Linked DNA regions of Drosophila melanogaster. The gene in region 1 interacts genetically with each later gene. Each region holds a gene or a part of one and is shown in the gene's direction. Other genes may lie near its edges. The genes, in order: Trxr1 and cathD.

Region 1 (6,918 bases):
GATACAGATCCACGCTCAACGACTTGGTGGCCGCATTCAAGGCCGACTTAGAGGTGCGATAGGCGTACATTCCGCCGTCCGTGTTGCCCTGGATGGAGCCAAGGATCGAGGACATGTTAATAATGGCGGCACGGCCCACGCCCATCGGCTGGGATTCGTTCGCTTTGGCTGCCTTCTTAAGGAGCGGCAGACACGCCTTGGCCAGCATGATGGGCACAACCGTGTTGGTCTGCAAGGTGTCGAGCAGCTCCTGCGATCGAACGGCCGTTATCCTGGCCGATTTGGGCGCTATGCCGGCATTGTTGAAGAGCACATTGAGGCCTTGGTCCTTGGTCACGCCCTCGATGTCGGCGACTAGCTTGTCATAGGCATCGAAATTTCTCAAATCTGCACGGAAAATATATTTATATGCGAGAGTGTTTAGCGGCTGGTAAAACATAATGCTTACCAATCTCAAGTATGTGTATGTTCGAGTGGTTCTTGGCTAGATCCTCCAGCTCCTGTGGGCCAAATTGGGAAAGACAAAATGTTTGAATAAGAAGCACATTATTAGTAAAAAAGCAGTTTATATATGAATAATTTTCCAGTTAAATTACTGTAATTTTTAGAGGCAAATTTGGTATTTCATGAGAGTTTAAATAGCGCGCCCAACGAGCGCGTTAGTGCCATAATAACCGATAGACGATAAGTGCTGCTGGTGTGACCGAACAATAGTCGGCCCAGCAATCGACAAGCCAATCGACGTCTCCCTTTCGCACGCTCGTACGAAAGTACAAAAGCTATTGCAAAAGTTGGCTCCGCTTATTCGTTTCGTGCTTTCGCGAGTGCCGAGAGCCGCTACAATACACGCTTAGCAGTTTTTACATTTCCGCTTCGACTACAACAACATTCACTACCCGCCGTTGATCCTTGTTTTCTGTCTGATTTACGTGGAGCACCTACCAACAAGCAACAAAATAATGGCGCCCGTGCAAGGTGAGTTTCACAGTTAATTCGATTCCAATTGAACCATTCAATTTATGCATGCCCATTTGGACGATTAAAAAGCGGTTTGTAGAAATAGTGGCTCTTGTGGATTGTTCGCGTAGCTTCTGTAGTTTCTGTAGCTCGACGGTTGTGAGTCACCGGTTTTGTTGGATTACTGGATTGTCTTAGTAGAGAGACAACGCAAAATAAGAAGAAAACATCTCTCACCTTTGCCTGCTCGCGATTCCGGCAGGTGGTAAATAGATGCTGCGGCGGCTGGGGAAGATTGAGCAGCGCCTTGACCAGGCCCAGACCCAATCCTCGATTGCAGCCGGTTATCAGGATGGAGTTCATGTTTTTTTTTTCCGAAGATCCGCGATCGAGTTGCTCGAAATCTTATCGCGTCGTACTTGAGATAAAACCAATAAAGGGCGGCACTACTATACGGGTTCCGTGTGTTCTGTGGATTTCACCAGACCCGCAGCCAGATCTTTCCGTGCTTATCAATCGACTTTATTGCCGTAACACAAGCGTGAAAATAGTGAAATGTTAGGAAAAATTTTGACGGCCGGCTGTTTCGTTCGGACAGCAGCAGTGTTACCAACCATCCGCGAGTTATCGATACACTTGCGCATTGCCAAACGTGCGTTTCGCACATTTCCAATTGGCAAAGGGCAGAACAACTGTTGTGATGTTCAAATCCCAAATGGAATTTCGCAATCCAATGGATGCTCCTTTATGGCAAATCCATTTTATCCCAAACATTCTCGTTTTTGCGGTACGCGCTCTTGCGCCCTCTCTCTTTCTCGCTGCTTCTGTTACGTAGCCGTTTATCGGCGCCTCTGCCTGCCCACCGCTTTCGCAGCATTCCCGGCCGAACCAGCGAACGTGTTTGTGTTGTGTGTTCCGCCGTCATTTTTCTGCACCCTTTTCGCGAATAGTTTCGTTTCGCCTCCAGCTGGTAGAGTGAAACGCCAAACGTTGAAGAAGGGGAAAGGCCAACAAGATGAACTTGTGCAATTCGAGATTCTCCGTTACGTTCGTGCGGCAGTGCTCGACGATTTTAACGTCTCCTTCGGCTGGCATTATACAAAACAGAGGCTCACTGACAACAAAGGTTCCCCATTGGATTTCCAGTAGTCTCAGCTGTGCCCATCACACGTTTCAGCGAACTATGAACTTGACGGGACAGCGAGGATCACGCGACAGTACTGGAGCTACCGGTGGGAATGCTCCAGCCGGATCCGGTGCCGGCGCACCACCACCCTTCCAGCATCCACATTGCGACAGGGCGGCCATGTACGCGCAACCGGTGCGAAAGATGAGCACCAAAGGAGGTGAGCATCGATATCGATTGATATTCTGATTAGATCTTTGCTGTTGCCGCCGCAGCTGCTGCTCCTGTTGCCGCCGGTTGGCAACGCGGTCGATTGTCGCGGTTTTCTTGCTTGTTGTTTTTTCTGGGTCTTCTTGTGTTTAACCGACGCCATTATGCAATAACCGTTAGTTGCCTGGCCAAAAAGTCCATTACTCTGCTCTTATTACCTGGCTTATCGGGTTTCTGCGGCACGTATTCGCCAAGGGTTTATATGCCTGCCCGGCATTTGCTGTCTCACATTTGCACCGTCATCGTCAATCGTCATCGCGCACCCGCTCCAACTGGAATTGTACAGTCGGGGTCGCGCGAACAGCACTCGAAACTCGTATCATGCTGAAGTACATGATTTGCGCCATCGTTGTGGGCGCCAAAAAGAGCACATCCTCTAAGTATAATGGTCAACAAAGTTCTGAATCGCGTATAAATACTATGTCAGTCGAATTTTTTTAATTGAATTATGGATTGCTCATAAAACCATTACTCAATTGCAGCTTAAACAATATCAGTTATTTGCCTCAAAAAAGAATTACATCATATGACTTAACGAATTAATAATATTTGTTAAATTACATTCATACAAGTCACTTGTATTGCCATTTTGCCTTTAGCTGGTAAAAAAAAACTAATATCTATTTATATGAAGTTAAACGTATTTGATGTTTTAATTTGTAATATAATATAAATCCCACATGCCACGATCAAGTTTTCTTGTTAAATGAATAATTAGCCAATCGAGCAGATACGAAGCTTCTAATTCCGAAAACAATAGAAGAATTTACTTATAAATATATGCCATATTCTGATTTCAAATGGTAATTAAGGGTATAATAGGATTTCTTAAAGCACCAACGTGATATGTGTGATTTTTGTCGAATGCGGTGCTCTTGAACGAATAACCCTTTGCGGAATGTTCGAGAATCGCTTTATGATGATGATGATGATGATTTCACCATATCAGTCGGGTGCATTTATTCCCTTTATCTGTGTTTTCTATTTCGTATCTCTCGTATCCGTCGCTCAACGAGCGCCCGCCATCGTCTTTGATCTTTCATCATCATTGCTGAGCTGCGTCATCACCACTTCATTCCGCAATTAATTGCAGTGTGACGACAACAATTGTTTATTTGCACTCGCATTCGTACGTAGCCACCTGATTTCCCCCTGTTCCTGGCCAGGATTAGCATTCCGTCCGATAAAAGCGAATTGTGTGTGGTGTTGCCAACTAGTTTTGGGGCGTAACCATGACAAAGTCCGGCGGGTCAAAGCAAACCGAATGGGGGGGCGTAGGTGGACGGACGGAAGAAAGGCGTGGCCGGGCTGGGATGGGCGTGGCTTGGTGTGTGGCGATGTCGCTAGATGATTGCTCCACTTTGATTCGAACTCCCACTGACCCAGTGGCATGTGTGGCATTCGGCAGCACTATCGCTACCTGGCAACTGAAGCCAAGGAGCTCGACGGGATTGCACGGTGCAGATTACGGATTGCAGGAGGCCAAACAGTCTTCGTTCCGCACTTCTTTGGTCTGGATGCATCTGTTCGAATTCATACCGGCTTCCCAGTTGGTCGAGGGTGAACCACGCCACCGGAGGAGCATCTACCGATCCGCCTATCTGGACATACGACTGCGCGAGGAGTCCACCAAAGGCAGGCGGGGATTAGCCATAATCATGAGTGAAGCTAAAGAGAAACTTGAGTAGTTGGCACCACATGGCTAATTGATATCATTACCTATCACTGATAAGGATTTTCAACTAATCTAGATACTGGTTAAGAACAAAAACAGACCATGCCAATACAACATGGCTATTGATGTTACTAACGGTGATAAGTTTTTAATAATACAAGGTGAATTGGCTGTGCTACGATTAGATTTCCTGACGGCTCCTCATGTTCTGTGACCTCTTGACCTCTTTAAGCCCAATTTTGGCAGTAGATTACATATTTCTATAGACAAAAGGCGATGAATCAAACGAAAACCTTTTTTCTCCTGCAGGATCCTACGACTACGACCTTATTGTGATTGGAGGCGGCTCAGCTGGCCTGGCCTGCGCCAAGGAGGCAGTCCTCAATGGAGCCCGTGTGGCCTGTCTGGATTTCGTTAAGCCCACGCCCACTCTGGGCACCAAGTGGGGCGTTGGCGGCACCTGCGTGAACGTGGGCTGCATTCCCAAGAAGCTGATGCACCAGGCCTCCCTTCTGGGCGAGGCTGTCCATGAGGCGGCCGCCTACGGCTGGAACGTGGACGAAAAGATCAAGCCAGACTGGCACAAGCTGGTGCAGTCCGTACAGAACCACATCAAGTCCGTCAACTGGGTGACCCGTGTGGATCTGCGCGACAAGTAAGTGTGACTATATCTATGGCTTCCGCTCGAGCATCCCCACTAATTATACCCTTCTATTTGCGCTCAGGAAAGTGGAGTACATCAATGGACTGGGCTCCTTCGTGGACTCGCACACACTGCTGGCCAAGCTGAAGAGCGGCGAGCGCACAATCACCGCCCAGACCTTCGTCATTGCCGTTGGCGGCCGACCACGTTATCCGGATATTCCCGGTGCTGTCGAGTATGGCATCACCAGCGATGATCTGTTCAGTTTGGACCGCGAGCCCGGCAAGACCCTGGTGGTGGGAGCTGGCTGTAAGTAGCTACTTTCATTTGCTTACATCAAATTGATGAATAACCCATTCGGTTTCTGCTCTTTCACTCAGACATTGGCTTGGAGTGCGCTGGATTCCTGAAGGGTCTCGGCTACGAGCCCACTGTGATGGTGCGTTCTATTGTGCTGCGTGGCTTCGACCAGCAGATGGCCGAGCTGGTGGCAGCCTCGATGGAGGAGCGTGGCATTCCCTTCCTCCGCAAGACGGTGCCGCTGTCCGTGGAAAAGCAGGATGATGGCAAGCTGCTCGTGAAGTACAAGAACGTGGAGACCGGCGAGGAGGCCGAGGATGTTTACGACACCGTTCTGTGGGCCATCGGCCGCAAGGGTCTGGTGGACGATCTGAACCTGCCCAATGCCGGCGTGACTGTGCAGAAGGACAAGATTCCAGTGGACTCCCAGGAGGCTACCAATGTGGCAAACATCTACGCTGTCGGCGATATCATCTATGGCAAGCCAGAGCTGACGCCCGTCGCCGTTTTGGCTGGCCGTTTGCTGGCCCGCCGCCTGTACGGAGGATCTACCCAGCGCATGGACTACAAGGATGTGGCCACCACCGTTTTCACGCCCCTGGAGTACGCCTGCGTCGGCCTGAGCGAGGAGGATGCCGTCAAGCAGTTCGGAGCCGATGAGATCGAGGTGTTCCACGGCTACTACAAGCCCACGGAGTTCTTCATTCCCCAGAAGAGCGTGCGCTACTGCTACTTGAAGGCTGTGGCCGAGCGCCATGGTGACCAGCGCGTCTATGGACTGCACTATATTGGCCCGGTGGCCGGTGAGGTTATCCAGGGATTCGCTGCCGCTTTGAAGTCTGGCCTGACTATTAACACGCTGATCAACACCGTGGGCATCCATCCCACTACCGCCGAAGAATTCACCCGGCTGGCCATCACCAAGCGCTCCGGACTGGACCCCACGCCGGCCAGCTGCTGCAGCTAAAGCGGGAACGCAGCTCAGCCGCCTGGGACGTGTCGAAGCCGCTTGCTCCACCCGAAATCCCGTAGATGAATGGTTGTTGTCGCGGCCCAGCGATCGATGAGTTCAATAGTTCCGTTTCGTTTCCACAATTAACACCCAACACAATAGCTCTGCGCAAGGGAGGGGCACTGGGCAGCGATGGCGGGTGGAACGACACCAGTGGAACTACCCGCGCGACCAGCCCAACCCACGACTGCTGCGCCGCCGACATGCACTCAAAATTTTGAATTTGTTTGAACCTATGAAATTAACTATGAAATCCCCTAAATGTACGGTTGAAGAATATAATTTTTCACCAACAAACCCCTCTGTGTTTCAGTTCTGTGCATTTCCTTTAAAACATACCTCGACCTTTAGCCCTTCCTCTGCCTTTTCAATCAAGTAAGTTCATTAGCCATGCAAATGGCTTGACTTGACCTGGCTAAATCGATTCTGTCTGCCAGCCTGACAACTTGTTAGCCACCCGACTAATTGCTAATGCCATTGCTAGGGGAATCTTTGCCCTCGAGGGCTATAAATCAGCTACGAACGATGGCACCCTGGAGATACATATATCAGTGGGTAATAAATTATACTTTAGTTTTCAAAGGAAAAACAGTGCGTGATAAAGTGTAATAGAAGCTACGAAAAGGTTGAAGTTTATGACCTAAGGAATCCTCGCAAGCAAATCAAAATCAAATTAAGACAGTAAATTGATGCAATCAATTAATGAACAGCAAAGAGAATTCAATAGCTTCTATAAGGAATTAGCATTAATCATATATGTATGTATGGAACACTTTCGAGGTGGTATCTCCGATTGGATGCCACGAAACAAAGCGAGATGGCTATACTATGAACCAAGCGACTTGGAATAGCCCAATATACCCATAGTGAAACCCAACCCATTGATAAGTCGCTGTTGTGATATTTTTTCTATTACATTTTTATTTTGGTTTTCC
Region 2 (5,627 bases), on another chromosome or scaffold:
AAGGACCTGCCTTCTGCGCCTTCGTACGCTTCATCGCCTGCAGCGGAAGAACCTGAACATGAATGAAAAATCGTGATTTGATTTTTACTAATTCGATTTAACCCACAATCTTGAATGATTCGCGCCAATATGAAGCAAGTGTAAACATAACTGTATAACGATATGGCGACTCTATCAGCTGTTCAATGAGAGTGAAAATTATGCTAGTAGCCGCACTCCAAATACACTTCCCTTGGAAGAGAAATTATTATGAATTAACATAAATAAAGAATTAAGTATTATGTTTAAATTTATATTAGTAGATTTTTTTTTGGCATAATATTTTAAGGAAAGTTGTGGCTTTCGGTTTTGAAATACATTTAACTCCAGATGTTCCTATTTCCTAAACATTCCCTAAGATTTCAATAGTCTCAGTGCCGCATACGATACACAGCAGTTATCGATTACAAAAAGAGTGCAGATCTGAAAGCGCACGTTGAAATTAAACCGATTCTTTACTGTTTTATAATAAAATGTTTTATATTGGGAATGAAAATGGACGAAACTGTGGACGAAGCGGAATTTAATGCCAATATCGGCCGTATTGCTCGATCTACGCTTTTGCACGATGCTGAACAATCGATCCACAGGGAGTTGATCGACTACGCTGTTGCGTCGTGCCGTCTGTTTTACATCCAGGATGCTTCAGCCTGGAAGGAGTGGAACACCAGGAACGAGGCTTTCAGGGATCTCACTGCCAAGGAAGTGTGCCATTTATTCCTAACCGAAGTTCTGCCCCAACTGGACACCTATCAGCTTTCGGAGATGGCCCAAAAACGCCTTAAGCTTCTGGATCTGCATCCATTCTTCAGGCGCGTTGCCCAAGGCTACCAGTACACTCCGGATTGTGACCTTGCAGCTCGATTTGTAGTCCAGCGCCAGAAACATTTTATCCAACCTGAAGATATCAAGAAGATTAAGGTAAGCATATCTGTCGGCGAATAATTTTGATGCCAATTTACTATGTACATGCATAAATATGAATGTATTTACTTAAAATTGCTTTCGTTAATAAACAATAAGTACCCTTTTTTTAATTTAATTTAATCTATCCTTATGCAGTTATCCGGGCACTTACACATCACATTATAATCTTATATCTCTTACTCTCTTAATCCAATAGTATGATATTAATTTTTGCTCGATTTTTATAGAAAGGCGATTCCCTGAAAAGATGCCAAACCGTGCTCATGGAAAGCGATGAAATGGAGCAGAAAACCTGCGTTGGGTATCGAAGCAAAGTCTCCATGGAGTCCGCCGTTCTGTTCTCGGTACTGTTGTCCACCAACCATGAGCTTTCTATTGGAAAGATGCTCGATATGAGTGAGATTCACGAAAGAATGCGGCGCGCCAAACAGTCATTCGAGGATACTGCTAGAGTTACTCCGTTCCGAACGAACATTGATGACCTAATCTCCGATTTGGATGTCTGTGCTAAGGTCAAATCCAAACTTTGTCGAGTAATAAGTGATTGTAAAAAGTACTAGAAAGGATTAGCTATATCTTTTATCTATATTTAATACTTTTATTTCATTTTAATCAATAGTATAAAATTATTTCTCTGGATTTTAGGTGACTATAAGAAGACTATTTTTGTAATATTTTTGAACCATTTAAGCTCAAAATACAACTTACTATTCATATTTTAATATATAATTCCATGTTATCATGAATTTATTAGAATTTATATATACAAGTAAAGATTCGAAATTCAGCTTCGACCCGCTCCTTACGATTGTTATCTATATTATCAATTAATACATTAAGGTTGCTCATCATAATTGTTAATTGTTTGCTCATAAAAGCGTTTAAAAATGAAAGATGGGAAATACTTTTTTAGCTTTCCCTTATTGTCTCTAAAGTAAGATCGTAGTCATGATACAAGCTCTTCCTAAATGTGTAGAAATAATGATACATTTGTATTATATATACATAAACGCGAAATATTAAAAAGAAACATTCCGAAAATTAAAGAATTGCATTAGTTTACAACAAAAACTATCGAATCTCTCTAATCAAAACGACGCGCCAAGCCAAATTTAGTACATTATCTGTGCTGAATCATTTTCGCTGTGCCGCAATATTTAATTAACTGCAGCGATCATTGCAGTTTTAGCCACCAGAGAAGCGTAACATAGAAATCAAAATGCAGAAGGTTGCACTGCTTCTAGTCGCCTTCCTGGCTGCGGCCGTGGCCCACCCAAATTCGCAGGAGAAGCCCGGATTGCTGCGCGTACCGCTCCACAAATTTCAGTCGGCCCGCCGGCACTTTGCGGATGTGGGCACGGAGCTGCAGCAATTGCGCATTAGGTACGGCGGAGGTGATGTGCCGGAACCGCTGTCCAACTATATGGACGCGCAGTACTATGGGCCCATTGCCATTGGCTCGCCACCGCAGAACTTCCGTGTGGTTTTCGACACCGGCTCCTCGAACTTGTGGGTGCCGTCCAAGAAGTGCCACCTGACCAACATCGCCTGTTTGATGCACAACAAGTACGATGCCTCCAAGTCGAAGACCTACACCAAGAACGGCACTGAGTTCGCCATCCAGTATGGCTCGGGCAGCTTGTCCGGATACCTGTCCACGGATACGGTGTCCATTGCCGGCCTGGACATCAAGGATCAGACATTCGCTGAGGCGCTCAGTGAGCCGGGCCTGGTCTTCGTAGCTGCCAAGTTCGACGGCATCCTAGGCCTGGGCTACAACTCCATCTCGGTGGACAAGGTGAAGCCGCCATTTTACGCCATGTACGAACAGGGTTTGATCTCCGCTCCGGTGTTCTCATTCTACCTGAATCGCGATCCCGCCTCGCCCGAGGGCGGTGAGATCATCTTTGGCGGCTCCGATCCCAACCACTACACTGGTGAATTCACCTACTTGCCCGTTACCCGCAAGGCCTACTGGCAAATCAAGATGGATGCCGCCTCCATTGGCGATTTGCAGCTGTGCAAGGGCGGTTGCCAGGTGATCGCTGACACCGGTACCTCACTAATTGCTGCGCCCTTGGAAGAGGCCACCTCTATTAACCAGAAGATTGGTGGAACTCCCATCATCGGTGGTCAGGTGAGTACCATGCTCTAAGTTCTCACATGAAGCACTGCTAATCCTCTTAATTTCTTACTTTAGTATGTGGTTTCTTGCGATCTCATTCCCCAATTGCCGGTAATCAAGTTTGTGCTGGGCGGAAAGACCTTCGAGCTCGAGGGCAAGGACTATATTCTCCGTGTGGCCCAGATGGGTAAGACCATCTGTCTGTCCGGCTTTATGGGCTTGGACATCCCCCCTCCAAACGGACCCTTGTGGATCCTCGGTGACGTTTTCATTGGCAAATACTACACCGAGTTTGACATGGGCAACGATCGTGTGGGCTTCGCCGATGCCAAATAATCGAACAAAGAAAAGTATACTTAAAATTTAAATTGTAAACATTATCGATCGATCCCATTGCGGGTTTCTCCGAAGAATAATATATAAATTATCATTTTAGTAGATTTTCCATATATTTATTAGCGTAAGTTTATTAATTACAATAGGGCTTGCGCGGTCTGCACTTAATGAGACGAATAGTAAGTACGTGGCGATGACCGACGCTTCTAATCTTCCAAAATCGACTAACTTAAGTATAGCAAGAGTTCTTATCTCTAAAGCTTAACAAGTTACAGTTTCTTATAGGTAAAGCTCGATCTATAGATGGGAAAAGCACTTGAGGCTTACGACTATATTTCGGGTGTTTTGTGATTGTGTTAACTCCTCCCCTTCTAAGACGAAGGCTGTCCACAGACTTTTTACAATTGGCAAATCTATTTGAAAGCGGATCTTACGGGTAACATTGGTTGTGCACTAAGTTCCCATACTGCCAACCTGGTACTGCGTTAAACCATCGAAGGGAAGGCAGCTCTGCGTGTCTGGATGATCCGAGAAGTTCGTAAATGCTGCTGATTCTCCATGTCATGGGTTCGCAACAAGGTTCTGGAGATGATCGTAGCGAACTTGGAAAAAATCTTTATTGTAACCGTCGACTTGTTGACGACGATGATGCTGATGTTGGTTGAACTAGTTGACCATCAAAACGTATGTGTTGAACGCACTCTGGTTGGCGTCTGATGGCAGATATTATTCAGTTCGTCGTTTCAGTACCCAGGCGCAGAAATAGTTGCCGCATCTTTACGTCTTTAGCAGATACTACGTTGATAGATCTTAATTCCCTCTTCTACTCTTCTCATCTACTTAAGAGGTAGTTACAGTTTTAATACTAAAGTTTTGACAATAATTAAGTATAACAATTATAATTTTATAATAAAGTTCATTCAGATATTTTTGATATTAAAGTATGTAGTAAAACGCTTATTGATTGCAAGTATTGATTTTCCTATTTAGTTGAACAGAATCAGGAAAGGGTATTGATAACATTAGTGTTTTATTTTTTTTTAATCGGGAATTTGAAATCTAATTAGAGTGAGTGCGCTATACTGTTATTATGCCGTTTTGGTAATGCATTTATTTTCTATGGTAGTTTCAGGAAATATTTGTGGTTGCGTGGACTTTAAGTTTTCAAATCATTCGGGTCTAGCATTTCATCACATACCTTTAAAATTTTCTAAAGAGGATGAAGCGGAAATAATACAAAATGTTTAAAGATTAAATAAGAAGGATTTGACAAATATTTAATTGAAAAATGTTTGCAAACTCTTTTACTAGTGTTCAGATTTCACGTTTGTATTTTGCTAACTTGGCGATGGTCACAAAAGGAAAAGAAATACTAAACCTAGCGTAGATTATCTTTATGAACGACCCTCCCTTTTATGAGGACCGTTGTCCCGAGGTCTGCTTCGATTAGTTCTTCCCTATACCGTGGGGTTAGTTTATTTCCCAAGCGATTGTTTTGTTTTACCATGACGGTTTCTCCCACCTCAAAGGTTCTGTCTCGTCTTGTTACATTTTCTCTTCTTAGCTGTTTTTCCTGAGCTTCGTTAACCATTTCTACTATCTCGTTAGCCAATTCGGGAGGAGTTGAATGAATAATGTCGATCGGTCTTCTATTGGTGACTGAGTGCACCGTCTTATTGTATTCTATTGTTGCCTGAAGAATAAGGTTGACTGTATCATTCATTCCACTGTCAAGTTTCAGGCATCGAGCTATTTCTAAAAGCGTGCTGTGAAACCTTTCAACCTGTCCGTTTGAGGTACTATGAAGTGGAGGTGCGTTCGCTATGTCAACATTAAAACGATTTTTCAAAAGTGACTTGATTGACTCGGAATTTATGGACGGTTCATTGTCACAAAATATTGTCTTTGAATGGGGAAAAAAGTTCATTAGTTGCATAATTGCAGGTTCTAAATCAGTTATCGTTCGAGAGCCGATTGGTTGCACAATAGCGAATTTGGAAAATTTGTCAATACATGTCAAAAAGTAATTCCTGTCCGTAGAAAATATATCAATATGCAATGTCTCGCCTACATGTGACGGAATAGGTGTTCTCCCGAGGATTTGCTTTTGCGGATGGCGGTCGTATTTGGCTTTTTGACAAACCAAGCAGTTAGAAACAAAGGTAGCGGCTATTTGTGACATTTTAGGGAAAAAGTAGTA

The links.
Region 2: of Trxr1 (region 1) and cathD, changing one enhances a phenotype caused by changing the other (phenotypic enhancement), as found in Drosophila melanogaster (one study listed by BioGRID).

Annotation. Positions count from the first base shown.
Region 1 is NC_004354.4:8,241,757-8,248,674, forward strand, and holds Trxr1 (thioredoxin reductase 1), read left to right. Parts: upstream 1-1,825; 5' UTR 1,826-1,972; coding exon 1,973-2,303; intron 2,304-2,432; exon of another isoform or gene 2,433-2,674; coding exon of another isoform or gene 2,675-2,741; intron 2,742-3,631; exon of another isoform or gene 3,632-3,870; coding exon of another isoform or gene 3,871-3,988; intron 3,989-4,337; coding exon 4,338-4,683; intron 4,684-4,753; coding exon 4,754-4,980; intron 4,981-5,051; coding exon 5,052-5,938; 3' UTR 5,939-6,277; downstream 6,278-6,918. Other genes in the region: sni (sniffer), read right to left, coding at 1-387, 449-500, 1,195-1,320. UniProt on the Drosophila melanogaster protein: Thioredoxin system is a major player in glutathione metabolism, due to the demonstrated absence of a glutathione reductase.
Region 2 is NT_033778.4:7,820,025-7,825,651, reverse strand, and holds the start of cathD (cathepsin D), read left to right. Parts: upstream 1-2,082; 5' UTR 2,083-2,185; coding exon 2,186-3,103; intron 3,104-3,166; coding exon 3,167-3,427; 3' UTR 3,428-3,541; intron 3,542-5,627. Other genes in the region: phr (photorepair), read right to left, coding at 1-52, 107-148; CG30383 (uncharacterized protein), read left to right, coding at 529-960, 1,194-1,526.